Lonchura striata: one gene and its partner. The protein of the gene in region 1 binds, or shares a complex with, the protein of each later gene. Links are inferred from orthologs where the notes say so. Each region holds a gene or a part of one and is shown in the gene's direction. Other genes may lie near its edges. The genes, in order: coiled-coil and C2 domain-containing protein 2A and TCTN1.

Region 1 (16,092 bases):
ATCATTTGTGCTGAGACACAGCCACTCACACCTCTGTGAGATTCAGATTCACCACCATCTCTCTCATGTTTGACTTCAGTTTCTTGAAGCTCTGTCTTTGCTTCTCTTGACCAAGCCAACATTACACCAAGGGTCAGAAGATGGAGACCTAGCAGCTAACTCTGGGCAGTGAATACTGCAGTGCCCTCTGGATGTAGTCCTGCAAGAAAGCTGCCAGCATCGATATGTCCACAGGTTGCTAACACACTGAGCACTGTGAGGTGTGCACAGCCTGGATCTCCCTTTGCTGTCCTGAACATCTGGGTTGCCAGGTAGGAAAAAACTTCCCAGTTTTCCTCCTGGAAAAGCTATCAGCTTGGTTTGTTGCAAGTGTTACACCTAAAAGCTTAACTATGCTGGTTTTTGAAAAATTTTACTCATGTCAAGCCATGGACAGATATCCTCTTCCATTAACAGCACAACAGGGACAAGAGACTGCTATTCAGCTGAACAGGGCTGCTCCCTGCCCCAGGTCACAGCCTCCACTTCTCCCCTGTCAGAGAAGCTTATGGGCACCTTCCCCAACTTTCTTCAGAAAAATCAACCAGCTTAGTGCAGTCTAAGCCTTTAACATGCTCCTTTTGTCTCTGCCTAGTTCAATGTAGAATGTAGTCCCTGGCTGGATGCCTACTTTTCCATACAGTTCCCAGAAAGGCACAGTGCCAGGGTGATATCATTTGATGAACTTCCAGAAGAAAACAATGTGCTGGAGGAGGAGTGTCCTTTTGAGGGTCTTGAAGTTTTATTCACATTTCTTTTCTCACATGGTGAACACTGTTCTTTGGTGCCATATGCTGTACTAAGGGAGCAACTGGGTGAAGGAGAATCCATCTTCAGAGGTGTCCATGATCTGAAAAACAACATATACCTTGAGGGCATGAGAATTAAGCCATGCCCAGGGACTACAGCATATTCAGCTATATATCCAGTGAAGTTCCCAAGTAGTTCTTGCTTTGCTGTCTGTCTCCCATCAGTCACTCTTGTGCACAGTGAATGCTGTCATGAGGGGAGCTCTCTATGGACTTCTGCTCACAACGTCCAGGTGGGAAGGCACAAGGCAGGGGAAGTCTGTCCCCATGACTTGTGTCAAGAATTTGTGACTTTTGTTCTTATTTGTCCCCATGTGCCTTGCAGTTTGACATTTTATTTTTGTGCCCTGTTTTTTCCTCTTTCCAGACCATCCAAAATGGTTTACCCAGCCTGTGTTTTATTTCCCTTCTATCACCACAAGGTCAGCAAGGCACAATGATCTAAGACAGGAAATGGAAATTTTCCTGGTAAGGGCTGGAGAGGAACCAAGAGGAGGAAACATGCTTGAATTGAAAGACTTTTCACAGGAGATGGGCACACTGCTCTAGGCATCTATCCACATCTTTAAATGCTGACATGCTTCCATATGCTGTATTCCAGTCCAGATTTGTAACCAACCCTTCAAATTCCAGGTCATCCCTGAAGACAGCTTCTAATTTATGACTCCTGTCTCTTTTTCCTATTTTATTTTAGGGAAGTAGAGAACACAATTCAAATAATCCTGTGCCTGAGGTGTAGGCACCCTCATATCCTGAGTCTCCCAGTGTTAAATCCTGGCTATTTTTCTCTACACTGCAAGCAAACATGTTATTGACTCCATGTCACTTGCCAACTGTAAGCAACTGGCCTCACTTCTTGGCTTTCTGTCAAAACAAATTCTGTAAGGTTATATTTATTTGTGTGTTCTGGTACAGCTGGCAGTGAAACTGCTTTGCTTGCCAGCATTCTTGTTAAAATTCCCACCAGCTGAGTCAAGCTATCTCACCAATACACACTTTGACTAGGCCGTCTGGCATTTTTCGGAAAAACAACCTTCCAAATAATGGGAATACCTGGAGATACTATGTATAAAGACAGACACTGAGAAATAAAATTGCTCCCACGCTTCTGATATTTTGAAAGTCAAGCATACTAAACTTCTAGCCTTGATTACATGCACTTGCTTTTTAATGGAGGCTTGAGACATGGTTGAAGAATCTGACTGCATTCAACATAGTTATAAAGAAGATTGTTCAAACATAACTGACTATAAACTTAAGGGCACGAGAATATTAAATGTCAGCACTGCTAATGAGGCCTTTAAGGATTTTTTTTCTCAGAAATATTTAGTTAATGGTCCTTCCCACTGGCTGATTGATTCCTTTGGGCACCATCAGTTGTTCTGGTACTGGGAACCAGAAGTTCAGACTGCTCAAAACTGTTGGGTCACTTGCCCCTTCTTACACAAGGGAAACAAAACAAAACAAATCATGTGAAGATTGCTGGATTGTGTAGGTAACCCAAGCAGTGTGGTAGTGGCCAGCTGTTGTCTTGATTCATTAGAGTAAGGTGTGGTGTTCCAGGTGAAGCTCTGAAAGTTCAGCATAGCCTCCATAGCACAAAACAATCTGGGAGATATATAAAGCTGTGGCCAGCTGAAGGTGGATGATCACTTCAAAATCAATGGGAAAAAGAAATCCATCATTAAGACTCATATTTTAATGGCATAAAAATCATACAGAATAAAGAAACTGCTGAGTGTGGCGTGCCAAACCACAAGCACGTGTTTCTAAGGCCGTGTAGAAAGGTAAATGGTGGTGGCAGATTGAATGGCAGATTTGAACCCTTCAGGCATGTGGACACAGCTGACTTTTGCAGATCATGTTTTGAGATGGAAAAGACTGGCATAGCCAGTGGGGTTTCAAATGAATTGCTGAAGATGTCTCTCTCTCTGCTTCTCATCCTGACTTATTATCTCCTTATTCACTGTTTTTCCTACCCTACGGTTCCTGGATGGGAGAGTTGGGGAAGGTCTGTGAATCTCACAGTGAGGATTCCTGGTAGCTATGAGGGGTATTTCGGGCCTTTGCATTTGGAAAGCAAAAGGACATATAGACTATCTTGTTCTTTACCAATAATCCATTGCCAGGGCTGCAGACAGAAAGGGCCCACAAGTATCACAATTTCTCATCTACATCTTTGTGTACAAGGAAGTTAAACACATCTTCTACTGCCTAAACATCTGTGTGTATGCATTGGAAGTGAATTCAAAGCTCGCAAAGTAAGACAAAAGTAAGAACTTAGCCAGGGCAGCTTGTGACTAATAGCTACTGGTGCTTGACCCAGTTTTTATTTACAACAGATTCATGAGAAATTTTCTAGTCTTGTTTCAAAACTATGCCAATTAATAAATTTTAGAATTAGCCCTACATATTTGAACAAGTGAGAAAGATTAGATCATATACCAGAAAGTCTCAAAACTAGGAATTTCTTACAATCAATCCCTTAATTTCTAAGTTTAAAAAAATGTTAGTGACATAGTCTGAGTATACCAGTAATGAAATGAGATTTCCCAGTGGCTTGATGATAAACCCTCTGCTGAACCCTGGCTTCAATAGGGATCTAACTTACAAAGTATGTTCTCAAGGACATAATAGAATTATAGAACAGTTTGTCTTGGAAGAGACCTTTAAAAGTCATCTAGTCCAACCCCCCTGCAATCATCAGGCACATCTTCAACTAGATCGCTTTGCTTACAGCCCTGTTCAACCTGGCCTTGAATGTTTTCAGGGATGGGGCATTGACGACCACCTCTCTAGACAACCAGTTCCAGTGTTTTGCCATCATCATTATTAAAAATGTCTTCTTTCTGTCTGTTTTAAATCTACCCTATTTTAGTTTAAAGCCATATCCTCTTGTCCTATTGCAACAGGCCCTACTAAACACTCTGTCTCCATCTTTTGCAAAAGTACCACCTTTAAGTACTGACTTTCAGCACTTCATAGGAGAGTTGCTCCAGATCTTTGATTGCCTTTGTGGTCTCTTCTGAACCTGCTCCAGGATGTCCATGTCTGTCCTCACTGAAGACCCCAGATTTGGACACAGCATTCCAGGTGGGATCTCACAAGAGTGTAGTAGAGAGGCATAAGCACCTCTCTTGACCTGCTGGCCATGCTGCTTTTGATTCTTTAGACCTGCCACCTTAACAGACTGCAACAAGGTCCAGGAAAGCTTTTTGAATGTTTTTCCAGTATTAAATGAATCAGATAACTTTAAGAACTCACTTGGAAAATCTGCTTCTGTCTTCGTTCGACAAGACAGGAGTCTGTGAAAGAGGGCAAAGCCTCCTGTGCAATGGAGAACGGCAAACCCCCCTCCCTCTGAATTACCAGGATCTTTAAATTAAAAGGCTCTCAGGCAAAGATGTGGGAATGGGAGTAACAATTCTTTACTAGGAGAAAACTAGACAACAATTTAAAAAGGCAAATGCAATCGGTACAAACAAAACCAGTGAAAAAAAAAGTCCAGAACCTGAGGAGTCGGGGTGCCAGTAGCAGTTCTGCTGGGACAATTGATCCCCTTGCAGTGGTTGATGAATTGCAGCTGAAGTGGTGATCTTTAGAAGGGTATAGTTTTCCTCTGAAGATCTGGTGGCAGTGGGGCCGGTCTTCCTCTGCGCCGGGGTTGCCTCTGAGCTCCGCCGCCGCCTCCCTGTGCCCCGGCTGTTTCGCTGCGAGATCCCGCGAAAGAAGAGAGAGCGCTGCTTCTCTGGGAATCCCGCGAAGAGAGAGAGCGAGCTGCTTCTCTCGGAGTCCCGCCCAGAGAGCTGCCTCTCTCCCCAAAAAGCTACCCCTTTATACAATAATAGAGTGCTTGGCTTCCCCCTCTGGGTGGGACCCCTCACGGTGTTACATTTACCAGCCCTGCATTGAATCAGTCAATGGCCCACTAACAAACCATTACCTCTTAGGAGCAAAACCGGTTCTTGGAAAAGATAACAAAACCTGTCCAACAGGTTTGCCTTCAACAGATGGCAAATAGAATACAAGCTTATCTTACAACCTAGGACAGCTTCAGAAACCATTCTTAGCAAACTGGTCTAGTGAAAAGTGCCCCTGCCCACAGCAGGGAGGCTGGAACTAGATGATCTTAAAGGTCCCTTCCAACACAGACCATCCCATGATTCTATGACTATAACTGATCAGCATGTCCATCATCTTCCAGTGAATGCCTTGATCTGCATTCTTCCTCTACCTAGTGGATTTGAAACTTATTGAAATGCCATTTCCTAAATGTGGAATAACATTATTCTAACTCTGAGTTTATATAATTTTCATTATTATTTTTGGTAATGGCTATGATGAAGATGTATGCTATTGTTCTGAAGAAGAATACCATGTGCTTATTCTGGCTTGCAGTTTTTGGAAAAATACACTGAACTTCTCAAATGTTGTTTTTCTCTGGAGACAAATCACTTGGCATGTATAAATGACTTTGTTTCCTACCCCAGTTTATGGACAAAAGTTTTTTATCTTTGAAAAGGACAACCAAAAGCCAAGAACAAAGTGTTATTTATGGTTCACATTCTGCCTCCCAGTTAACTCTCTGTGAACAAATATTTAACTACAACAATAAAACTATAACAATAGATGACTCCTGACAAAGTGATTTGGGAAGTCTATTATACCCTCTAACTTCTTAAAACCATGTGAACTGAAATCTCTTTGGCCTCCTAAGTCAGCCTGAACTTTCAAAAGCCATGGTCATATGTTCTTTTTCACCTTTAATGTTTCAGTGATGCTTTTAATGGCACTCACTGGGAAACAGGGGGCATGGGTTCAACACTGTTCTCCCTTCCGTGGTCTGAGGAGATTTCTTTTTTAGTTGTTTTACAAGAGACTGCAATAACAGACAGGCACCCCCTCCTTATAAGTTGACTACTGTTATGCACAAAAAAATGCAAGAGTCTGAATTCAAAGGGCAAGAGAATTCCTGATTCTCTGGCTTAATGCATGGTTTCCCAAATGTAATTTTTTGGCTCCCACTGTTGGAAGTAGCTTTCTGTGTTTCCCCAAGAATAAATTCAGGTCTGTAAACATCATCACCTCAACCATTATCATAATTTTCTCCCAAGCCCAGCTCTGTTTGCCTAACTGCAGTCCTACCATTCAGCTACACAGCCCCTCACTCCTTAAGACCCCCAACACATAGATGAAATCTCTGTATATTGTCCTCTATGCTTTCTCCATCCCAAACTGGTTCTCCAAACACCATGCCCCAGGCATCTAAGGTACATCCCTACACTCCTATCTCAACAACCATATTCCCCTCACCTTCCCCAAATGACATTTTTCCCATGGTCTTTTCAGAAATACATGTCGCAAACTAATTAATTTCCTGTAGGCACATGAGAAGAACAGCAGGGGAGGTCTGGGAGCTGGAGACAGCTTCACAAATCAATAAGGTACTGGCCAGCCAGTGACAGGAACAGCTGTGTGAAGTTTTTTACTCTGATTTGTAAAATATCCTTGACACTGGCAAAACTAGAAATTGTTGAGATTATTTTTGCCTGGCTTACATGCAACACAGTGTGGGAATATCCAGCCTACTGATTCAGACTTTCATCTGGCAAAGGGCAGGATTTTTTTCCAGTCCTTGATCCTTAGGTCATGTCTGCTTCTTATCCATCAGCTTTGTGTAAAATGCATATGCAGCTTTAAGCATGAAGTCCCTCCAAGTTGCTCCCTCCTGGCTAAGTGTTTGAAGTTTTTCTTTTCTGCAAAGAGTTTTTTGTCCCTGATTTAAGTCCCATGAAAGTCCATAAGCTTTTTTTGAGTTTTCTCAGTAGTACATCAGAGCAAACGTCTTTGTGAGGTTTGTCTTGTAGCTAACAACTGCCTTGGAGTCATCATTCACTGCTCTGCTGTATTGTTCAGCATTCATATGCTAATCCATTTGTGGAGACTGCTATGCGTGACTGTATGGTAAGGTTTTATCAAATAACAGCAAAATTAATAGTTTGGTTTCTGCCAATTTGATGCAAGATGTCTAAAATGAAAAGCAAAATATCTATCACCAAAGAGAATTTTGGAGCATTATTTCTCTCCAAAAGATTTTCGTCTTTTTAACTGCATTACCACTGGTACCATAACAGTTTCTAATTTTCCGCTCTTTAAAATAAAAGATTCTTCATAAAGACTGTGTATATGTATGTGTATATGTATATGTGCATGTATATACATATATGCTGATCATTTCCTTGCTGAATAGACCTGACCATGCCATCCTTATAGCAGCTGAAACACCATGAACTGCAAATAAATGTAATGGCTTGGGGTTTTAAATAAATCAGTTAATGTTAATCATTATCACAGAGGGGAGAATGAGAACAACAATTTCTAGATTAAAAGGCTCTGCAGAGGGATGCTGGATCAGTGGGCTGAGGCTGGTTGTGTGAGGTTCAACAAAGTGCCAGGTCCTGCAACCCCAGGCAGCACCACAGGCTGGGGGTAGAGTGGCTGGAAAGCTGCCCAGTGGAAAAGGACCTGGGGGTGCTGGTGACAGTGACTGACCACGAGCCAGCTGTGCCCAGGTGGCCAAGAAGGCCAATGGCACCTGGGCTGTCCCAGCAGCAGTGTGGCCAGTGGGACCAGGGCAGTGATTGTCCCCCCATACTGGGCACTGGTGAGGCCACTCCTCAAATCCTGTGTTCAGCTTTGGAACCCCACTTCAAGAAATCTATTGAGGTGCTGGAGCTTGTCCAGGGAAGGGCAGCAGAGCTGATGAAGGGTCTGGAGCACAGGTCCTATGAAGAGCTACTGAGGGAGCTGTTTAGCCCTAAGGTTTGGGGGAGACCTTATCACATTGTACAACTCCCTGAAAGGAGGTGGTAGCCAGGTGGGGGTCAGTCTCATCTCCCAGGGAACAAGTGACGGGGTGAAAGGAAATAATGTCAAATTGTGGCACTGGAGGTTTAGATTGAGTAGCAGGAAATCTGTCTTCACTGGTTTCACAGAAAGGCTTGACTAGCATTGGAACAGGCTGCCCAGGAAGGTGGCAGAGTCACCATCTCTGGAAGAGAAATGTGGATTTTCAAGAAACATGTGGATTTTACATTGTTTAGTGATGAGTATGGTGATGATGTTAGGTGGATGTCTGGACTCAATAATCTTATCTTAAAGGTCTTTTCCAACCTTAATTATTAGTCTGTGATTCACTGTTAAGAAAAGATAGACTGCATTTCACAAACATTTTTCTCAATCGCCCATTCTGTTTTTTCTCTTTCTTCCCACAGAAACCTGTGGATTCTGATTTCCTTGAATGCTGTAAATTAGCTCTGACAGAATGGACAGCTCCAATAAAAAAACTCACACAAATTTTCTGAGAAGACATCAAAGGAACTAGAAATAACAGCTTGACTTGAAGGTTCTCACCTGACCCATGACTGACTCTCTGCTAATGCAACACTAAATTTAAGACGCCTTTGTATATCAGGTACTGCAATTATTCAGCATGTCACTGTTTATACAGTTACTTTTCTTTAGTATCCCAGTACACAGTGGGACAGAGAAATCTAATTTTTATCCAGTCGCTTATGAAAACACCCAAATACCATATATTAGGATTTAACCAATTTTCTTGCAAGATATTGCAACACAGTTCATTGTATATGACAGCCCAAGCCAGGTTTAAAAAACTCAGCCTGATAGCAGTCCATTCACACTCCACCATCCCCTGCAGGGCAGGGCAGCTGCCTGGTTCCACCTGACAGATGAGGGTGAAGTGTTTATTTGTGCTGTTTCCAAGGGGACCTGAAGCTGTAGCTCTCTAACTGCCATCCTTTCTCCAGCTTCAGCAAGTTTCTGCTGCAGTTATTTAAGATGGAGATTAATTTGCCACCATAAGTGCAAATTTCAAAATGAAATGAAGGTGTAAGCTTTATCCTCACTAACTCCCTGCAGCAAGAAGGGTTTTATCTGTAAAGTTTATATAGGGACCAAAGACAAAATACTATGCATTCAAAGATCTTTGAATTGAAAAAAAATCCAGATTATTTTTTCACATGTCAACATTTGGCCCCAAAAAGCTGATATTCACCAGTTACACTATGTCAGTCTACAGCTACTTACTTGAAAGACAAACAGCAACATGTAAGGCGCCCAGAAAAAGCTCCAACCTCACACTTTCCTCCTTGCCTCCTACACGGATTTTGGTAATGCAGAAATTTCAGGCTGAGGTCTGCACCTCTACTTGTGCATAATGCATCACAGTGTCACGCTTATTTGCATATGACAAGAGTGTCTTACTAAACTTTTTTTTCCAGATCTGAGGATGTTTGTGTTGCTGTACATTACAAGTTTTGCCATCTACACAAGCGAACAGCCTCTTCAAAGCCAGACCAAAGGAGAAAATTACTACACCAGATACATCTGCAGCATCCCAGGTTTGCCAGGCCCTGCCGGCCCCCCTGGAGCCAGCGGATCCCCGGGGCCTCATGGACGCATTGGTCTTCCAGGAAGAGATGGCAGAGATGGCAGGAAGGGAGAAAAAGGTGAAAAAGGGAGTGCAGGTACTGATTATTTGTGTAACCTAACACAGTAGTGCAAGAAAACAAGACCTTTCATCATCACTGTTATCATCATCACTATATCTATCTATCTATCTATCTATCTATCTATCTATCTATCTATCTATCTATCTATTTATTTATCTATCTATCTATCTATCTGTTTATCTATCTATCTATCTATGTATATATAGGTATATATATATCTGTATATTTATATAGATGAGTGTGTGTATGTGTCTGTGTGGGTTTAAGTGTGATGCATATATAAATACAGTAAGAGTATGCACATATATCAGTGTAAAGAAATGTAAATGCACAACCTTTCTTTGCACAGATGCTAAGAAAAGATTTGGAAAGAATGAAGCATGCTTGGTGCCCCACCTGTGCCATTAGCCAGTTGTTAATAATTAGAAGGTTCTTAGGTATGCACTAAAAATGCTCTATTTTTAGGAAATATTTAGCACACAAGTATAACTACGTAGGTAGTCATGCTGCTGTCCCTGCCATCAGTAGTGCCTGTTAGTTCAGGCGGCAATAGACTGATTACATATAACATTCTTTAATGTGTAATCAAGACACATGAAGATAAGTAGGAATTACTGGCATTCCTTTTTCAAACTTACTAGAAAACTTTGAAAGTATTTCTAGATATTTTGAAATTCTGACCATGTTTTTCTTGTTTGTTCAGGTACACGCAGTAGCCCACACAATCATTTACTGAGGTGATATGTATTAACGATTAACTAACTTAAAATGTTTTTGAAGGTTTAAGAGGAAAGACTGGGCCCTTAGGACCAGCTGGAGAGAAAGGAGACCAAGGTCAGTCTGGTAAGAAAGGACCTGGAGGACTGACTGGTGCCAAAGGTGAAGTAGGTCCAGCTGGACCACCTGGACCTAAGGGAGATAAAGGAGACCGAGGAGAGCCAGGTGCACCAGGGGTCTGCAAGTGTGGAAAGATAGTGCTGAAATCTGCCTTTTCTGTTGGCATCACCACAAGCTACCCAGAGGAAAGACTACCAATTGTATTCAATAAAGTCCTCTTCAATGAGGGGGAGCATTACAACCCGTCCACAGGGAAGTTCATTTGTGCCATCCCAGGGATTTATTATTTTTCTTACGATATCACCTTAGCCAACAAGCATCTTGCGATTGGGCTGGTGCACAATGGCAAGTACCGGATCAAGACTTTTGATGCCAACACCGGCAACCACGACGTTGCTTCTGGATCCACAGTGATCTACCTTCAGCCAGAAGATGAAGTATGGCTTGAAATCTTCTACACTGACCAAAATGGTCTCTTTTCTGATCCAACATGGGCAGACAGTTTGTTTTCTGGATTTCTCTTATATGTTGATACAGACTACCTTGATGCTTTATCAGATGAAGATGAGCTCTGAAGCAGATGTCAAATGACATTCAAACTGGAGGCCCCAGCATAGGATTTTATTCATCTGTGTGGGGAAAACAAAGTTGAAATGAAAAAAAAAATCTCTGGGTGTTCATTCTTGTTTTGATTGGAACCAAATCTGAGCTCGTAAGAATGTTCTAGAACCTAGGATGGATTTTTTTTTTTTTAACGAACAGCAGGGATATCAAAATGAACTGTAATGAACAAAAGACTGCATCACTCCAGGACTGATTCTTTCCTAAAATTACATTTATAATACTATTTAAACAAATTTAAGATACTGTACATTGGATTTGATATAAAATGTATTATTTTGCATTTTAGAATGGTTATTTTGTATATTACATTAAAGTAAAATTGAACAATTCACTGCAATATCATTGTTGGTCATTTTAAGATGGGCAATGCATTTAAAACAGATAGGAGAGGAATAAAATAGGAATCACTGCTTCAGGATGCCACTGCACAGGTCACAAGACCAGTCTCGTGATATTTACGACAACAAATAGCATTCATACCAACCTCACAGTAGGTACGTGCAGATTTGTACTAGCTGAGGACTACTCAATAGCAGCCATAAAAGACTAGAACAAAGCTATCAAATATATAAAGAAATTAAAAACTGGAAGATCTGGAAACTTGGAGATAGTCAGTATTCAGTGGGTATTTTCAGTGTAATTCCAAGTGTCTTTGCTATTCTTTAAATGCTATCTATTATCTTTATGAGAAATGTGGAAAAAAAGCATAAAATTTTTGCTGAAGATAATTGTGGATGCCCAAAAATGACAGGACAGTAATCACTAATCAGAGTAAATTATATGAAGTGAAGTGAGTCACACCACTAAAGCAGAAGTTATATTTCAATATGACCAAATGCAATAAAATAAATGTAGGTCACAGACAAGATGGAAAACTGCATTCAGCAAATCAATGACCTTGGAAAAGATACATGGGACCTCATGGATTATCAGCTAAATAGGAGTAATAAAAGTAGGCTGTTGCTACCACCCTTTGGATGTATGATAAATGGAATTAAAAGTAGAGATGAATAGTGGTTACCAAGAAAGCAACTACTTCTGTCAGTGCTTCAAAAACTTACTTGAAAGTTGCAAAAAAAATGTTTATACTTCTATTCATGGGGATTATACAAGAGATGTAACAAGGTCAATTTACTTTTCTTGTCAATGAGGTTAAGAGGTGATTTAATCACCTGTACCCATCTGGAGATAAAATTTCTGGTAGTATCTGGCACTTTCCTCTATCAGATAGGAGCACAGCAAGGTCCATTGGTGATAAACAGTATCAATCCCCACTGGAAATGGGAAATCCATCTTACCAGTGGCAGCAACCAATGACTGTAAAAATATCTTGGAATATCACGAGTTCTCCAGCATTCAACACCAGTCAAGACTGGCAATCTTTCATTGGGTCCTCTTACTTTCCAAGAATTTGCAATCCTTTATTCATCCCAGATTTACAGAGACCTGCTGTTTCTAACAATTATTCAGATAACGTTAAATGTTAGTGATCTGTGTTGCACAACTCTTGAGCCCACTTTAGTTATGACCAAGGTAGATGGAAATTTCAAGTTTTTTCTGTGTACTTGATGGATTAAGAAAGTTACAACCAGACAAAATGACAAAAAAGATGCTGCTGAGGTTGCAGAACCAGCACAATGGTTATGTATGGAACATCAGTGTGTGCACATGCACATCATCAGCATTCACAACTGTGAGTGCATGACTGCTGCTTTGTGCAGTGAACAGGTGCAAAGCCCTGACCACAAATCAAACTGGCAATGCTTGTACAACCATTATTTTATTTGACAGTGAGAGATGCCTGATAGAAGACAACAGCAGATTATTTTTCTAACTAGACATCTAATTTATTAGTGTCACACAAGGGCTGCTTTCTGTGAAAAATATGGAAAAGAACACTTGGAGATTTGGTTTATCACCCTGCTGTACAATCATTTATACATCTGCAAACTAAGGACAATATGAGTGCAAAATGCAGTCCAATCATAATTTACAATTATGATTGATGCTGATGCCTCACAGCCATCAGTGCGTATCTGAGGCACAAAGACCATCACCACTGTCCTATGCTGCCTGCACTGAATTCCACAGGACAGAACAAGGATCGTACCTAGCCCATGACTTCCAGGAAGCATAATTCAATAGATGCAGGACTGGACCCAGAATATGTTTCATGCAGCAAAACCAACTAAAAGAAGTTTTTTATTAGATTGTTATCTTATAAAATATGGAAATAGGCTTATGATATTTGAACCAGTATAAACTTTATGTTAGGAGTAACATATTAGTTTTATTAGAATTACAAAATCTGATAAACCCAGCCTTAAGGAAAGTGTATGACTGATTTTCTCCAGACTCCACAGAAATGTATTGAAGTTATAATACATCTGGAAATTTTCAGACAAAACTAATTTTTCTTAATGAAACAGAGGAAATATACAGCTTTATACTGAAATATTGCTGGTTGCAATCCTAACTATAGGCTAAGTGCTCCCATGTAAAAAATCTGTAAAAATGAATCCAGTATAAAAGATGTATTACAACCACACCCATGTTGAAAATGACACCATGGGACTAAGTAAACCAAGAGTTTACTTTTCTTAGCAATTTTAGATTTATGTTTGTACAATTATAGAAAAGTAAAGCTAATTTCCCAAAGTTTTCCCATTTGGATTCTATGCTTTTTTGAACAGTTTAAAATTTTGGCGTGAAGAGTTAAAAATAAGTCATCCTGTTAGATTATTTCTATAAATTTTGGCAAGAAGAATACTTCTACTACACATATGGACGACATATGTATATAAGTACCATGTGTCCCTGCCCTCATTAAAGGTCTCAAGACTTTATCCTAAAGTAAATCATTGCTATTGCTAGTATATTATTTGAAAATATATCAATTTTGATGACATGATATTGCATTTGGGGCATTTATCTGTCTAAATTTGAATTTATATGGAAAATATCTTGGGCTGATGTCTTCCCACAATTCACATCAGTACACGGGGAAGTCTGGTTAGTTTCAAAACATTGCAGGAGCAAAAGAGCAAAATTTCTTCATGATCAGATTTGAAATTAATCAATGATTTCTATACAACATATTGGTCATTCTACACATGCCATAATGACATATAAAATTAGGCATTCAGATCAAATTAGTCATCTAGACTCTGCCTACAGTCCACAGAGGAAATAAGTGCCACCAGGAGAAACTGCCAGGGGGAAGCATGTCTTTACTGCAGTACCAACTCTTGGGCTTCCTGATCAAGGCTGCAAGAACTCTTACAAACCTCAAATGATCAGGAAACCATCAAACAATATTAAGAATATCAGTATTCCTGAGATTCTTAACTAAAAGTATATATATACATATATTTACTTGGGATATGTGTATCTTTTTAAATCTACCTAACACCATTTAGGTACTATTACAATAAGCAAAAATATACACAACTGAAAGCAACTTATTTAATTTCCGACCAAGAATGTTACATTAGTTGTTACCTTCCACAGCTCACCCACTAAGTTCTGTTCATATTCATATACCAAGATATTTACTGACTAAATTAGTTTTCACTGGTTTATTTATTGATTTATTCACCCACTGGCAGGTAATTAATATTCAGAATAATTATACTAATGCTGTATAAGCAGTTTGGTCAGTAGGAACTTCAGTTATATGTGGAAACGGGGCTTGCTTTGGATATGTCATTCAGTAGCTGATGAGTCCCATCCAAGAAATAATACATGAAAGTAAAAAGGAAAAAAATAAAGTTGAGAAAGCAATATACCACTATCTTTACCAATGAGTAATGCTTTCAAGAAGCAAACTAGTCCTTTCAGCATAAACTATCTAGACTTCTGCTCAGAGAGCATTTAGAGGCCATATACATTGTTCTGTAACTCCTTAGGTCAACAACTGAGATTGTGTCAGCATTTCTGAATTTCAGAGGCATAATTCTTTCTCATATCCACAGGAAGAAATTTCAAAATACTGTCACGAAATCCTTGGTCACTGATACCTGGTTTTGTCCTAGCTGCATACATCAGATCAATTTATGAGAGTTACTACCTAAGGGAAAAGAAAAATTAATTAGATATATTACACATGTATATTTTAATAGCAAATATTCACAAAGAGAAAGGTGTCTTGGATTATTTGACTCATATTCTTCAATTTTGAGTATAATTTTGGCAGCTACCGGCTGGACAAGGTGTAAGAAGATTTTTCCTCCATGAAGATTGTTCTTGCAGCAGCAAATATTAGTGTAAAATTTCTCTTACCTGACTTTAATTTCTAAAAGTTCAAAGATCACTGTGTAGTTTAAACTAGTTGTTTGCTCTCCTGTTACCAGTGCAAAGAAATAGGTGGAGTAAATCTCTGTTTTGATGACCCTATATTAGAGACTCGTATTAAGAAAGAAGGAATCAGGAAGTACCCATGTCTTCACATCACCTGCATCTAAGTTACTAACTTAGGGTAGCCTTTAACTTGGAGATGTCAACAGTTAAATAAGATGTCTGCTCTTCAAGAACACTCTGCTTAGTGGAAAAAATGGCATAATATAATTCGGCAATTAGTATGGTTCAAAATTAGAAATATGTGGATTGATGAGAACAGAGAAGTACCCTGATAATGATGGAAGTGTCCTCTTGGCAGATCTTCCATAAAATATTGCTCAGATTCCTCCTGGGACAACTTCAACTGAAGTAACCCGGCTGGTCTCCAGAAAATTTTGCAATATATTAAGATGGTCTAACCATCATCTCATGCCTCCAAATTCAATACACATAAGTATATATAAAATATTGAAATTTTTGAGGATACTTAAGTTAATCCTGGAGTGATTCTACTTACACCAAAGTAAAAAATAATAAATTTGTTTCTTTTCAGCTTTACAGAACCTGTCCTAAATCCTAAATAAAATAAAAAATATAAGGCAGAATTTGTAAAATCATCTCTGTGGTAGGATAACCTGGTTTATGACATCTTAACAAATGAACAAAAATACTGCATTCTTGAAAAATACAAATGAATCATGGTTCTCAGTGGGGTCTTAAGTAAATATTTTGCAAGAAGTAGGTGAGGCTTTTAGAAATTAGTGAAATGCATGAAGGAAATGTACCAGCAGTGATTCTTCTTTCACTACTTTCAATGCAGTGTTATCTCTAGGCTCAGAAGAAAGTTTAAAGGACTTAAAACTTTTGAAATTATCAACAATCTCTTTCATCATCTGAAAACTTTCCTACCA
Region 2 (15,366 bases), on another chromosome or scaffold:
TCAAGTTAGAAGCATCAAAACCCACCTGAACATTGCTGGTTTTGCAGAAAGTACAAAGATTTTGAATTTTCAGTATGTATATTAAAAAAACAACAAAGAACTGACATAAAAATAGCTTTACCAGGGGAGAAATCCCAAAATCAAACAAACCAACAGGTTTTCTATTTAAATTATGTGCTTCTTGGTATTTAAGACATCCTGAGTCTGCTGCCCTCTTTGCTGTTTGATCCTTAAGTGGAGCTACAATTCTGAGGACAGTTTGTTTGTTTCCAAGTTGCCATGAAAATTAATGCAAAGACCAACTTAGAAATTGAACTCTCTGTTGATTCCAGCAGGAACACAAGACAAACTGTAGGTCCACATACAGTAATCACCAAATATGGCCAAAACCCCCTAACAATATTCAAATAGGGCTAAATCTGTCTCTTCCCCACACAGAGAGTCCACTTCAAAGTACAGGAGATCCTGCATTTCTCTTAAGGGCAAACACCAATTGCTCAGTTATCTATCAGTGCTGGTCTAGCATGAACTTTAAAGGCAGCCAGGGTTAGTCACATGCTAAAGGAAGGGCATCCAACAGCTAATTCTAATCCCAAAAAATTTATCTGGAAGAAGCACCACAGGGAAGATGATGAGTGTCTAAAATGCACCCAGCAACCTTCCACATCTTGAGAGCTCTGGCATCACTCTTACAGTAACAGCTTCCTTGAGAATAAGCAGCAATAACTGTTACCTAGCACCAACTTGCAGCTTCCTGAGGAAAACCTCTCGCTCAGTTAAATGGCAACCAAGTTACAATGACAGCGCCAAACAGAGGAACCACCAACCACTTTCACAGCAGGAGACAGCACAGTGCAACCCCACAGGTTTAAAATAAATAAATGCAAAAACAATAACAACAACAACAAAAAAAAACCACCAAAACCACGGGCAGTGGCAGGGAGAAGGAAGCTTTTTTTTAAGTGTCAAAGTTTTGGTAAAAATTTGCTTCTGGCAGTTACACCACGACGAACTTGTGCAGAGTATCAGTCAGCCAAATTCAACCTTGAGTACACAGGAGAAAGGTCAAAGCACTGTCAAAAGCAATGTTCTTTAGTCTAAAGATTCTACTGATTATCCATAATTATTCACTACTTCTAAAATTTGAACCCTTAAGATTCATTTCGCCAGTGATTCTGAACCGGAGAGTGCAATCAGGCCAGAACAAAGAACGAAACTGAAGTTTGACATTTGATTCCAGTCTCAATGTCACTCTGCCTTTCACTTGACAAGGACATTGCACGCCTTAAAATCAGGAAGTGCCTGTTCAAGTGATCTTGTATGCTTAAATGCAATGTATGTACACGGGGCTCAGGTTTTAAAGAAAGACGGAAACTGAAACGAACTGGGAAGTGTTTCTCTGAGTTTTGGAGCCACCAGGCCTTACAGGCACCCACAGGTGAAACGCCCAGACTGGGCCCGGACACCCGGCACACACAACCCCCCATGCTAAAGGCAGGGAGAGCTGCAACAAAGAGCCCGAGAGCTTCCTTGGGAAGCTAAAAAAGCGAAGTCACGGTGACAATGACAGGCAGAACCAGCTCCTTTGTCTGGGACCGGGGGTTGAGCCGCTCGCCACGTGCAGCTCCGGGAAGAAGGAGGAGGAGGAGGAGGAGGAGGAGAGGGCCACACCGCGAGGCCGGAGCCACCTTAGCCCCCGGCCCGGCCACTCACCCAGCACATCCGCGGTGCGGTGCCGCGCCACGAAACAGGCGTCATCCCCGTAGCACATGCCTTTCTTGAGGATGCCCTTGCGGAAATCTTTGCCGAAGCCACAGCTGGCCGTCACCAGGCTGTAGTCGCGGGAGTCCGTCTGCGAGAGGCCGCCCAGGACCGCCCGCGCCACCAGCCTGCCGTAGGAGAGCACCGAGAACATGGCGTGGGGCGCCCAGCAGCCGAGCGCCAGGAACGCGGGGATCCACCGGCGCAGCCGCCTCCTGCCCGCCGAGCGCCAGCCGCAGGGCGCCAGCCTTCCTTCCCCTGCCCGCCGGCCCGCGCCGCCGCCGCTCCGAGCCCTGCCCGCCGCGGAGCCTCGTCCGTCCGGCCGCGGCTGCCGTTCACCCGCCCTCGCTGCCCCTCACGGGCCGCGCGCTGCCCCTCACGGCCGGGCTCGCCGGCAGCGCCCCCGCCTTCCGCGCCACCCTCCCCGCCCCCCGAGGGGGGCCGTGCCAGCTCCCCGCTGCCCGCGGAGCTCTCGGGGCTCCCCTCCGGGCTCGCTCCCCGCCGCCCGCCGTGCCCGGTCAGAGCCGCCCGCGCCGCCCCCGCGCCGCGCCGCCCGCCGCCGCCGCCATCTTCGCCGCGCGTGCTGAGGCAAGGTGAGGGCCCCGGCGCTGGGCGGGGCGCGCGGCCGGCCCCGCCCCCGCAGCCCGCCTCCCGGCGCGCGTGCGCGGCGGCGGCGCGCGGCCGCGCCCCCGCCCCCCATTGGCTCTCCGCCCCGCCTCATTTGCATGTTGCGGGACAATAACAGCGGGCGGCTCCCGGCAGCCCCCGCGGCGCCGAGCGGGGTCCGCGCCCCCGCCCCCGCCGGCTCCCTGCCGCAATTAGCGCAATTAACGTTCTCACACCGGGCACAGCGCGGCTGCGCCTAACCCACATACTTGCCCTCCACGCCCCGCGCGTCTCGCGTGCTCCGAATAACTCGCGGGGACTCGCTGGCCGCCGGTGCTTCGTGCCTGCTGAGGACGGTTATGTGAGTCACGCCGCGCAAAAAATGTGTTGGGTTTTGGTTTTTTTTTCCCCCAAGGATGACTCGCCCTGTTCTGCCCGGCTCGGTGCGGCCGGGGACACAGCCAGCTCAGCGCTCTGCGTGAGAGGCTTCTCTGCAAATCCGTGGCAAGGCTGGCAGTTAATCCATTTTGGTTAAGGAACGTGAAATGCCAAACAAAAGCCTCACGAGAAGGGTGTGTTGTGTGTGCAGTCATCGCTCAAACCCCATAAAATCACGTTAATTGTACTTGAGAGTGACACAAAGCTCTCAGCTGGGCATCTTCAACAGCAACAACTTCAAGGCATCAATGTCGCAAAGGCCCGCAATACTCAAAAAGACCCAAATCCTCATTTTCTGCAGCTCGGTTTTCCGTGCTGCTCGTGGGTGTGCAAACAATGATTTTGTCCCCTTGGAAGTTCCCAGCAGGTTGCTTTGCAAAATCGTTTAATTCCTCTGGGTACAGGCACAAGAGGCTGCTGCCACTTGCATAACCCGAGACAACAAACAATAGAGGTGGAAATGCAGCAGAGGCAAGTGTGAAACCTGCCCCCAGAGCTGCCTGCAGTGAAAGGAAGAACTCTGCCACAGCTGAAGCACCCTCATTATCCCAAGAGAGGCATTTTGCTCCCTGTGCACTTGGACAGAGACTATATTACCCCCCTTATACTGCTAAAGGCTTAAGCAATGTGTAGAATTATCCAGTTAACGCTGAAATTGTATCCAAACTTATTTAAAAATTAATCCTCCTGTTAAAACAGGGAGAAATGAACACGAGGAGCAGCCCAGGCCCAGTGTGGTGGATTAGGGAATGGCTGCACAGCTGAATGTGCCAATGTGCTGGAGATAAGGGCGTGCTGCTGCCAGGGCCCGGCAGGGTGTGAGAGCAGACAAACAAGGTGGCTTCTCTCAGTGCCTCACACCCTCCTTTATCAGCAAAGGGAAGCACATATTTGCAGAGCTTCCCCCACAGAATCATTCTTTCCCTTCCTTGAGTCTCATTCTTCCTCCTCCTTGTCCCGGTCCTGTCTGGTTCAAGTCCAGCCTGGTCTAACCCCTTGCTCTGTGCTGCTGCCTGCAGTGCCCTGAGGCAGCTCGGGTTGCTGCAAGGTGACCTGTCCTGCATCACCTGGCTGTGCTGCTCAGCCCACAGCTAAAGCCCAGTTCTCCATGCCTCAATGCCGACTTTTCCAGGGCTGGAAGGGTTCTCTCTGTGCCACTTCGCCCAGCAACCACGGCTCAAACGCTGAGGAACATCGTGAGCTCAGGGCTGACAAACTCACTTGGCAGAGCACGACTCTGTGCTTCCCTAAGTGCCCCCAAGCCAAGGCACACCAGGAGCTCTTCACACTCCTCCACCCATGAAAGTCTTTGAAACAGCCTCCCTGGGGAAGTGGTGGAGTCACAAACCCTTGAAGAGATCAAAAAACAAGTAGATGTGGCACTTTGTGACACCGTTTAGTGGCATGGGGGTATTTGGTCAAAGGTTGGGCTTGATCTCGGAAGTCTTTTCCAGTCTTAATGGTCCCATGATTCTACTCCAGGTCACCCACCCAAGTCTGTCCAGACAGCCAGACAACCTCATCATTTCCATGGTAATTAGTAACCTCTGATGAACTCTGTCACTCCTGCAGGAGGATGTTGTGCCCAGATGAAAAACTGCTCCTGGTTTTCATTCAGAGGATATCTGGGCTCCTGTTAGACAAAAACCCAATTATTTTTAATAAAATACTTCAGAACTGGTTTTCTTCACTGTTCAGTGTCAGTCTGGATAGTTCTCCCTGTAAATCCCTCCCAGCCCATGCCCTGCTGCCTTACTCAGTGTTATTCTTGTACCCTGAGAGTCAATATCCTGCCAAGTGATATTTGTTTAAAATTCCCCAATGCACAAATTTGGCACAAAAACTGGACCAAAGGGCATCCCCCTGGTTACTGCAGCTGGGTGGAATCTTCCCACCTCAAAGTCCAAGATCTATTTACATCAGCTCACTTAAGCTGCAAAAACAAAATGAACTCTTCCTGCTAGGCTTGTCCAGACCAATAAATGCACTGGGGAGTGCAAAACAGAAGTGCTGCACAAAGGAATCAACTGCTGGAGGCACGAGCAGGTTTCCAGCTTGTTTTAAAACTGATTCACTCATAGCTGATGTCAGTCCTTCCAAGTATCTGAGCCCTGAGATTGGAGTGTGATAAATATTACCTGTAATGCCATCTGCTGTACAGACTGCCTCAGCTCCTCACTATTTATTAAAAGGCTAATCTTGTGCTGGACCAAAATGCAGTTTATTTCAGCCTGGTTTGACTTTGTTTGGACTCTTAATTCCAAATGCCTGTCCACTTGGACTTTTAAAGTGATCTGTCATAGGGCAAACCCCGTGTTACCTCTGAAAAGATGAAATTCAAGACAGCACAGTTGGATTAAAAAGAATACTAATGTGAGGAGGACAACATGAGACTTCCCACATGACGTGTCAAGAGAAGATGCAAAGTCAGAAGATCACCAACAGGAATCACAGAATGGTTTGGATCAAATATCATCTCATTCCATCCCTTGCCATGGGCAGGGACATCTGGGACACTCCCAGGTTGCTCCAACCTGGCCTTGCACACTTCCAGGGATGGGGCAGTCACAGCTTCTATAATGCTTAAATGCACATCAGAATCTTGCTGCTGAAACTGTAATTGAAACAGTAATAGAGTAAATCCCTGAATGTGTTTTTTAATAAACAGGCATCTCCTGCCTCTCAAATTGCTTGAATTTTCATTTTACAGGACCTCCCACATAAGGATCACAGTGCCCTTTTTAATTATTAATTAGCTCATGTTGACAGAATAAATTAAAATCTCTCTGATGGAGAACAAGCATTATGTATTGATGCCCTGATCTTATCCTACACACTTGGAGTTGCTCTTTGGAACCTGTTTCAGAAGTCCAATACCAGGCTGAGTTTTCTGGTGGGGGGTTTCTCAAATTGTTTTTCTTAGATGTCTTGCCTTTCTCTGTTTTTTTTTTTTTTTTTTCTATTACAGCAAGTATTTTAAGTGGATTTAGGTGAACTGTTGCTGTGAGTGAAGCCCTAAAAAAAAAAGGTCACGAGAAAACCAGATTAATTCCATCCTACTTTGCTTTTGAACAGTTGCCCACTTCTATTCCATTTCAATGGTAGATGCAGTAAGAATTAATACCTCTTTATTCATCCAGCTCCTGCCCACATTCATCCAGGGTGCAATCTGTGCTTTCAGATTTCAGCAAGGCTTGGTTTTCATCTTGGAGTTGGTCCCCTGTGCACCATCAGCTTTGCCATGTAATTCCCGATGCAAGAAGAATTTATTAAATTGTTTTCCCCTGTGCAATGTCATCAGCCCTCTTCTACTGATTTTAAAGGCATGAGAAACATGTAAACTAACAAATAGAGGTGTTTTAGTATTAATTATCTCATGACACTGCAGTGGAACAAGGACACAGATCACAACCAGTGACGATAAAATAAACCAAGCACCACTCTCCCTCCAAGCCTGCAAAATAATTTCCAAATTTCCAACTTTGTAGGACTTGTAGGGAGGAGAAACATCTCCATCCTTGTTAACTGACCATGTGGGAGTTTAGTCAAGGAAGTTGAAGGTGCTGTAAGGCCCTAAACCAGCTCCATCCAGAGGGAGGTTGTATCTCAGCCACGTGTTCCAGCTGTCCTTCCTGCAGGATTGCCTCTCTTGTTGTTCCTTTGTTGTGGGACAGTGAAAGAGATGCAGCTGTAAAGATTCCCAGGATTTCCTCCAAACGCAGGCACATATCCTCTCCAGTGGCTGCAGCCAGTCCTGGTACAGCCTCAGTGAAAATAAAGCCCTGTGGTGCCATTTTCACCGTTTCACAGGTCCGTTTCAAAATGGAAGTGTGTGGTCACTCTAAGTTTGAAAAAAATAACAAACCCAACACCAGCAGCAGCATTTTGGCCACCTCAGGAACAGCAAACAGACTGAAAACACCAGTTCTTCATCCCCATGGAAGAAGGTAAAACCAGAGATTTTGGGTTATATCTCACAAGGAAGGCAGGCTGGAGGTTATTTTTGGCGAGGTTATTTTGGGGTGCAATTTCTGAGGCAGAGTAGAGCACAGGGGGTTCTCACCTTTTGTGTCACTGTGTCCTTGGAGGAATGAGGCCATTCCAAGGATGACTCCAGGATTTTGTTCCACATGCCTGGAGCTTTTGAAACCCATTGGTCACCAGCTCTTTGATAATATCAAACAGCCTCGGCAGAGGAGGGCTCTCTGGAGTTATTCCCATTTTCAGTGGGTGCAGCTGGAGTTTTTAGAGTTCTGAGAGCTTTTGTTGCCTTCCCTTCAAGTTCACAGTAATGAACCTGATCAGGGAAATAAAAACAGATAAAAGAATTTTTAAGGCTGGGAATGATCTAAGGAACAATGATCATTTAGTCACTCTCTAGCGCGGTTTTTTTTCCAAACTAGTAGCAAAATAGAGTAATTTAGGTTGAAAAAGACCTCAAAGATAACAGCGCACATAAAAAGATTACTAATAAGATTACTGAATATGCTAAGTACTGAAGACACACGGCATCTTCAAAAGGAGAAACTTCAACAGTTTAAAAATTGCTTTAGGAAAAATTACTAAAAAAATTTTCCAAAAGTGTTGTGAAATATAGTTATAGATATGTAGACTATATATCTATATAAATATATAATATTTTATATCTTGCAAAGGGCCATTCCCCAATATTTTTTTTTTATGCGTGGCCTTCCAATAACTTTTTCCCAAACCACCTACGTGGGTTACACTTGGATCACTACACCTGAAACCCTTCCCGTGGCTCTGAGGGGGCACCGAGCCCTCATCACCGCCGGGCTGTTCCTGAGGGCGCTGGGTGGCACAAGCGGCCGCCTGGCACCACCACGGCGGCCATATCCAGCCAGAACCCTGCGCGTGGCCTCCCTGCGAGGCTCCCCGCGCTGTGGGGCGGCGAGGGAGCCCGAGGGCGGCTGGAGGAGCCGCACACACCGAGCCATCCCCTTACCGAGCCCTGCCCTCACCCCACCCGCCATCTTCCCGCGCCGCCGCCCTTCCCCTCAGCGCACCAAATCTCGCGAGAGCCGGACTCGCCCTTCCCGCCATGCCCGCGCTCCCTAGCAACGCGCCGTTGCTAAGGGCGGCCGCCATGGCGGCGCCGCCGGGGCTCGGCGTTTTCCTCGTCCTCATCCTCCTCCTTCCGCTCCGGGCAGAAGAGCCGGCCGCGGAGCCCGCAGACACTCGTGATGCCGCACAGGCGCCGGTCCGCAGCGCGCCGGCCCCGGTCACGGACGGTGGGTGCGCTGCGGGGCGCCGGCGGCGCTGCCCGGCTGAGGGGGGCTCCGCTGGCGGCCTCACTCGGGCATTCGGCCTTTGGCCTCCCCTTCGCATTGCGGCCTCCCGGGGCTGGCACACCCGCCCGGCTTCTCCCGGGGATCTCTGGGGCTCTCTGCAGCGCTGCTTGCTCGGGCACCCCTGGGCGGGTGCAGGCGCCCGGAGCCTCCCCAGCGAGCCCGGAGCAGCCCCGGGCACGCTGAGGGCGGCACGGACACCGCAGACCGGGCATGGCACAGCGCTGAGGGGCGGAGGGGTGGAGGGCAGGGTCTCCTGCCCACCCAGCGCTGCTCTGGGCACAGCGGGCCCGGAGTGCCCGGGTGTCCCTGGGGAGCTCCGCCGCACCTGGAGCTGGCTGCACGCTTCGCCCCGAGGCTCAGCCTCGGCGCTGATACATTGTCGTAAAAACAGAGCTCACGAAGTTTAGTTATTATGTTCTCAGAAGGTGTTTCCCGCTGTATAATTTGCTACATTTTTATATCACTTTTATATAGGGTGGTGTTGCCCTGAGCTGTGCTTTCCATGGGTTACTTGCCAAACGGAACTCACCCCAGTGCTACCTCCTTAGGGAAAGGAGATTTAAATCCCTAGTGTCACAGGCATAACCTTGCAATCTAATCATCCATGTTTAAACTTCTCTTGTTTACAGGGTGAGCTAAAGATCCAGGGCTAAACTCAGCCAAAAGAACAGTCAGAACTTCAGAGATTCCAGGAAATACCTGGATACTGTTCAGGTGGTCAGAGAGCATCCAGGGAGCCACAGGGAAACAGGCAGCAAAGTGAAATAAAGGAATTAGTTATGAAAATATTCTTTGAATGTCTTTCTTATAAAACACTGGCCTTAATTTTCCTCATTCTGTGCTATTCTTAAATCCAGATTCATTATAGAACAGCATCTCTCAAAAACAGTTCAGTAGAATAATCTCCATTCTTTGAATTTATAAACTTGAAGACCTCAGAGAGTTTGAAGAATTTGCCAAGTATATTTTACTGAGACAGTTTACAGAATTACTAGCAATTACACTGTCTGTGATTACAATATGTCACAGTATCTAAAAACAGAGAGAAAAAACAATTTCAAAGAAGTAAATTATGGTTGCGTTGGCACATCAGGGAAATGTATTCCTGAACCCTGAGCCATCCTCAATACTTGTAAACATCTCAAAATGTTTTATTTTCCTTCCCAATAACTTGAAACAAGCAGATAAACACACCTTGTTGGTATCTCTTATTTTTTTTCCTCTGCCAGGCTGAATAGATTTTCACACCTCCAAAATCCCTGTTGGGTTTTGTTTCTCAGGGAACAGGTTTTAGCACGTCTTGATTTTGTCCATGTGTTCCAAATAAATTTGCTGAGCAGCAGAAAAGATGGCTTTTAAAAATAACTTCAAGAAAACTTGAATTTGGAGAAGACTTTTGGCCAGTGTCAGAAGCAGGGCGAGGTGAGAGGTGGGAGTGTTTGGGTTTGAGTCCCCGCTGCCGTTCTGATGTTGCTCTCCGGTGCAGTTGCCAAGATGTGTGTCTGCGACCTGCTGGTGGCACAGTGCGACACCAACTGCTGCTGTGACCCCGACTGCAGCGCCGAGGACTTCAGCCTCTTCACCGCGTGCTCGGTGCCCCTCGTCGTGTGAGTGCAGAAATCCTCAGAAAGCACAAAACCCACAAAATCCTCCTTCATTTGCTGCCTGCCTTTGGCACGGCTCTGTCTTCTCCTCTCAGCAATTCCCACCCCTCCCTCCTGCACTCTGTCCCTGACCGGGCAGAGCAGCAAATCCACCTCCCACCTCTTCTTTCCCTCTCATTCCCTCTTTCCTCCTGTTTCACCGTGTTGTTCCCTGTGGGCATTTAGGTGGTGATGCTTTTTTTGGGGTGGAAGTGTTGTAGATGTAGGTGAAACCAGAGGGAAGAAATGATGGTGTCTGACTCCAGAAGGTTGAATGATTTCTTTATTATAACTATACTATAATACATTAATATACTATTTAAAGGAGATATTAAAACTACAAACCTACTTTTTCTAACTACCATATCCAACTCCCTCCCAACTCCTGACCCTCTCTGAGTCCAGCCACAGGTGAGTTGGATTGGCAATCAGGCTCCAACAATCCTCACCAGAATCCAACCAAGCAATCACTCACCCCAGGTAAACAATTTTCCAAACACATTCCACATGGGAAAAAACAAGGAGCAGAAATAGAAATTGTTTTCTCTTTCTTTCCTCTGTGCTCCTCCATGAAAAATCCTGAAATAGAGAAGAATGTGCCTGCCACATGGAAGAATGATGAATCTTTAGAATTTGATCAATGCAGTGTCTGGAAGTTAAGAAAACTGATACCAAAGGACCAATCTGGCCACTTCTCTAGATCACCAGTTGTTATCAGTAACCTCTTTGGTTACATTTATGATATCAGCTACACAATTAATCAGTTCAGAGGTTGTTGAAATAGTGTGAGCATTTTTCTGACCCTAATTTTCCCAATCTGCTCCCCCAATGCCCCTTCACAAATGGTAAAATGTAACATTGTACCAAAAAAGTAAAGCCAAGAGTTGTTTCTTTGCTATTTAATCTGAAAACACCTTCACCCAATTCCATCTTCTCAAAGAGGAGTTAAGAAAGTTCACTTCAAAATAATAATGTGCAAAAAAAAAAAAAAAAAAAAAAAAAATCTCTTGGTGACTTCTCAGAACAATAAGTGCAGCTTTTCAACCCACCTTCTGTATAAATTATGCCAATCTGAGCACTGGGTTTATTCTTGGTGCTTTGGAATTTGAATTAGCAGTCATGCCAGACTGTGCTTTCTTATTGTTCTGGCACACAAAAGACTCCTGCTCCCCATTTACAGATATTTATATAGATCAGAAAGGTCTAATCAACACCCTCCTGAGTGACACTTTAATTGCCTCAGATGACTGTGCTGCCTTTGTCAACTAGAAATGCCTCAAATGAAACTGTGTTTCTTTGCCCAAATTCTTTTGTGTAAAATGTTTCTTTTGCATTAAAAGCCAGGGGATTTTCAGTGTCTGCAGGTGTTGTGGGTCTCATTATTTACATCAGAGTTTATCTACATTTGCATATTTGTGTTATTTTGGCTGATCTCAAGGCAGAGGCCATGAGATCTCTGAAGCAGCAGCAGAAGGGTGTGATTTATGCTGGGATCCTTTTAACAAGTGATTCACCTCATGGAAGAGCTCAACTCTAGGCTTCAAAATTTCTGAAAGTCATTTCACTTCTCCAGGGCCTGTCCTTAGCTGCTCTATGCTGCTAAATCAAATTTCACAGGGATGTAGCATGTAGGACACACCAGTGCTGCCAGGCTCTGAACTGGCACATTCTCCTGCAGCTCTGAGCTCCTGATGAGCCTTAAACACTTTTCCAAGACAGGCTGGGTTATTTCACCTCCTGTTCCTCATTCTGCCACTTCATTCACTTGCATCTTGAGCAGGAATTCTTCCCATTCCCTGCTCAAATTGAATATTATTCCAACATCCACAAAACTGACCTGTTTTCCTGCTCTGACATCCCACTTGGGTTGTAGAAATAAAAGTGCTGCTGAGCTGTGTGTGACCTGTGGTGCAGCCCTGCATTTTTGGGGTCTCAACCATCTGGACCCCACACAATTTGCCATTTTCTCTCTCATATTGTAATTTGTTTTCCCTCCCCCAGTCTGTTTCTTACCTACCTTCATGTTGCTGCTCACAGTTTCCTCTGCCGAATAAAACATGTCGGAGAATTTTCTAGTATTTATTATTAAGCACAGAGTATAAAACAATAGGAACCTCCTAAGGATGCACAATTGTTCTACAAAATTATGTTAAATTCAGTAATTTAATCCTTTTTTGTTTTTTCTGTTGCTGCCTCAGTAGATTAAAAGAACTTTAAAATCTGGTCAACACTAACTTCTAGTGGATCATGAATTTATTTTGTTTCTTTGCAGAGGTGACAGCCAGCTGTGTAGTCAGAAGGCTGCTGTGTATTCTCTTGATGTTGAAGCAAATCCACCAGAAAGGATATTTAAAATAATTGACCAAGTCAATCCCAGTATTTTCTGCATTCATGCTGCAAACTGTAAGTAGAGTTGTAGGCAATATTAAGCATTGTGGTGTTATTTTTTGTTGGCTCTTTAGGTGCCAGAAAAAAAGACTAAATTTAAAACTATTTTTATTTTATTAATCCCCTCAGGAAACTGGTAATTCTGTCTGCTCACAGTTCTTATGTTATGATCCTTTCACTTGTGAAAACAGAATTAAACATCTGGTACTCTTGGTCTTCTCTGTTGGAAAAAACAAAATACTTTGGGTTTTTTATTTTTGTAAATAATTTAGCATCCTAAATAAATCATGTTTAAAGTTGTCTCATTGTTACTAAGTGTCATTTCTGCATCTTTTTTCCTTAAATTATCTCCTTCTTTAAATATTTTGACAGATAAACAAGCCTTGTACCTCAAAACCCCTGAAATCCCAACAGCAGAAAATTTTGATCAGTTGCTTGACAAATATGGTGGTGCTTCTTTCAGTGCTGAGCCTGACAGCTGGAATTTGGATACAGATGCTCAAAATCCCCCTGAGGCAAATGAAACTTCCAGATATGAGGTAAATTATCTCTGATTCAATAGGAGGTAAATCATATTTGATGCAGTTAGTATTAGATTATTCCAGAAAGAAAAAAATCAGCATTGTTTGCATCTGCTTTTAAATAATGCAGTTCTGCTGAAAGAAGCAAAATTTATATTGGACTTCAAATTCAGAAATACAAAAATAAGAAATGTAATGTTTTGTGTTTAGTTACTTAAAAAGTGATCTAGATTTTTAAGATCTTTGAAAAACAAGGCACTTTTTTGGGTTTTTTTGCTACTTTCAACATAAAGCTGTAGCAGTGACTGAAAAATTGCTTCACAGAGCATTATTGAGAGATCCTGTGGAAATAGGTACTGCTTTTATTCATATTTGTTGTTAATAAAAATGGGCTGAAACACACCTGTAATTTTTATTTGGCAGTATGGGGTTCCTGTCCAGACAGAAGATGCATTTCTAAGGCTGCCAAGTCCTGTTGTCTCTTCTTGGTGCTCTGATGCAAATCCTGCAGGTTGGAAAGTACACTTGAATCTCATTTTTTTTGCTCTCTAATATTCTGCTCTTAGATTAACCAGTCAGAAATCTGGCACACTCCCCATGGAGAATTCAGCTTAAAGTTCACAAGCAGATGATTTTCAAATCACTTCTGTTTCTCTGTTTTGTTTGGTTTTTTTAAAACATAGACTAGAAATTGTCTTGCATCTCTGTTAAACATTCAAAGTGAGATATGTAAATCCCTGAGAATCTTGTTAAAGGGTTTTTAATCCAACAATAAAATGTCCTGTTTGGCATAATTGGTTTAATCCAACAGTACAAGGGTGACACCCTGAGGGAGGAGGGGTTTGCACCAAGCCAGCCCTGCCTGGGCAGCCTTTGGCAGATTCTCTTTGCTCAGGGTTCTTTGTTCAGATTTGCAGACTGAGCTCTGCATTTGAACCTTGCACACAATTTCCTGAAAATCTACAGAGGTGGAGGGGAAAAAAAAAAATAAAAATATCCACAACCAAAGCCACACCTGCATTTCCCAAACCCCACTGTCATCATTGAATGTGGTCTTGTAAGAGTCAGGGTGCTGATTACAGGACTGAAGTCTCTTGTGGAAGCAAATAAAAATCTTATTAAGAGATTGAAAAATTAAGTAATTTTCATGAAGCTTTTTCTACTTGTTCAGAAATAATATTTTTTTCTCATAGCATTTTTTTTAGAATATAAAAGGTTTCATTCTTCAAAGCTCACATAAAACCTTATCTGCAATAGAGGCGACATTTACTTTCAATTCTGCTTGTACCTAAGTTCTTGTATTGTTTTTCATTTATGCTTTTCATAATTGTTCTTTCATTTCCTCTTTCAGTTAATGCTTGGTGACTTTTTTTTTCCAGGGTTTTTAGTAAACCAAGCCACAAAATGCATTAGATCAGTAAGTGTGGAAAAATGTGACAGCATTCAAGCACTTAGCATGTTGTTTTATATCAACTCCAGCATTTTGGCAGTAAGTATGATTTGCAACAGTCATCTAGCTGAAATACTCATATTTTATATCTTTTACATCTGCAGAATGAAGTAACTTCTGTTTACTGAGGGATATGGTGTTTTATTTGGATTTTTAAATTGTGGGTTGGGAAGAAACATCTCCCTATACAGCAGACTTTTATGCAGAAAGCCTTTGGGATTGTTTTTACTTCAAGCTTTGGTAACAGAAGCATTTACTGTTCTCTGCTTAGCCAAATATAAATAATGTAGTCAAAGATAAAGTAAAAAATAATAGTTTTGAAGAGCCCAAGGTTGTGGCACTGAGCTACTGCAGTTTCACGTTCCTGTGCATGTTCAGGCTTTTCCAAGAAGTCCATTTATCAGAACACATGATTCTAAGAAATCTGAGTTTTAAAGAGTTGCTAAAACTTTGTACTGAAAGAGGAACCTGTCAGGTTTAATCCTTTGCTCCAAGCCTCATTTTTGATAGTGGAGCCTGGCACAGCCTTCTTTATGGTCCCAAACAACATGACTGAGAGCAAGTTTCTTTAGATCCTGCCTGCTAAAATCCAGTCTGGGGTTATTTTTCAAAGTTTTGCCTACTTTTTCATCCCTTTCTGACCTGGGGCATGATGTCTTCTGTACAAATATATCGCCTGTAAGGATATTCAGGAAGACAAAGAAATCAGTCATGAAAAAATGAAACTGAAATACATCATACCTTAACCTGATGGCTCCTTCCAGAAGCTGCAGGTTGCAAAGAAACAGCAATCTCTTCAGCATTAAAATCATTTTAATTTATGTCATTATTTAAATTCTTTTAATTAGCAGTGAGTAACTATTTAAAGACCCTTTCTAGGCTGCTCACAGATTCCAAAGCTCCCAAAGGCAAGGAAAGCCCACTCAGCACTTCACACCCTCACAGGTGGGATCATTCTCCCTCTCCTTCAGGATCTCATTGAAATCAGCCAAGGATTGCTCCCAAATGTTGGCTTTTGATCCTCCTGTTGTGGAAGAAGTGGAGAAAATGCAGAAGCCTCAGAAGGGCTTTGAGTGTCTGCATCTCCTCCCAAAATTAGTTCTTGTTGGCTGCAGGACTAGGAAAGAACAAGAGTGGCTCAGGCCAGGCTCTAGCAGCTGAGAAAGGGAATTAAAGGTGAATTCCCTTTCCTGACTGGAAAATCCATAACCCCTTATCCCTGTGCTGCCTTCCAAGGCAGTGGCTGA

What was found.
Region 2: coiled-coil and C2 domain-containing protein 2A (region 1) and TCTN1 share a complex: the UniProt entries of both Homo sapiens proteins name them as parts of the tectonic-like complex. The link is inferred for Lonchura striata from reciprocal best matches to the Homo sapiens genes CC2D2A and TCTN1.

Annotation. Positions count from the first base shown.
Region 1 is NC_134606.1:15,060,079-15,076,170, forward strand, and holds the start of coiled-coil and C2 domain-containing protein 2A, read left to right. Parts: upstream 1-8,246; 5' UTR 8,247-8,322; intron 8,323-9,151; 5' UTR 9,152-9,159; coding exon 9,160-9,397; intron 9,398-10,162; coding exon of another isoform or gene 10,163-10,794; exon of another isoform or gene 10,795-10,900; intron 10,901-16,092. UniProt on the Homo sapiens protein: Component of the tectonic-like complex, a complex localized at the transition zone of primary cilia and acting as a barrier that prevents diffusion of transmembrane proteins between the cilia and plasma membranes.
Region 2 is NC_134620.1:12,013,530-12,028,895, reverse strand, and holds the start of TCTN1 (tectonic-1), read left to right. Parts: upstream 1-7,860; 5' UTR 7,861-7,867; coding exon 7,868-8,057; intron 8,058-8,746; exon of another isoform or gene 8,747-9,584; coding exon of another isoform or gene 9,585-9,603; coding exon 9,604-9,724; intron 9,725-12,032; coding exon 12,033-12,163; intron 12,164-12,520; coding exon 12,521-12,687; intron 12,688-13,092; coding exon 13,093-13,180; intron 13,181-14,048; coding exon 14,049-14,158; intron 14,159-15,366. Other genes in the region: PPTC7 (protein phosphatase PTC7 homolog), read right to left, coding at 1,714-1,915. UniProt on the Homo sapiens protein: Component of the tectonic-like complex, a complex localized at the transition zone of primary cilia and acting as a barrier that prevents diffusion of transmembrane proteins between the cilia and plasma membranes.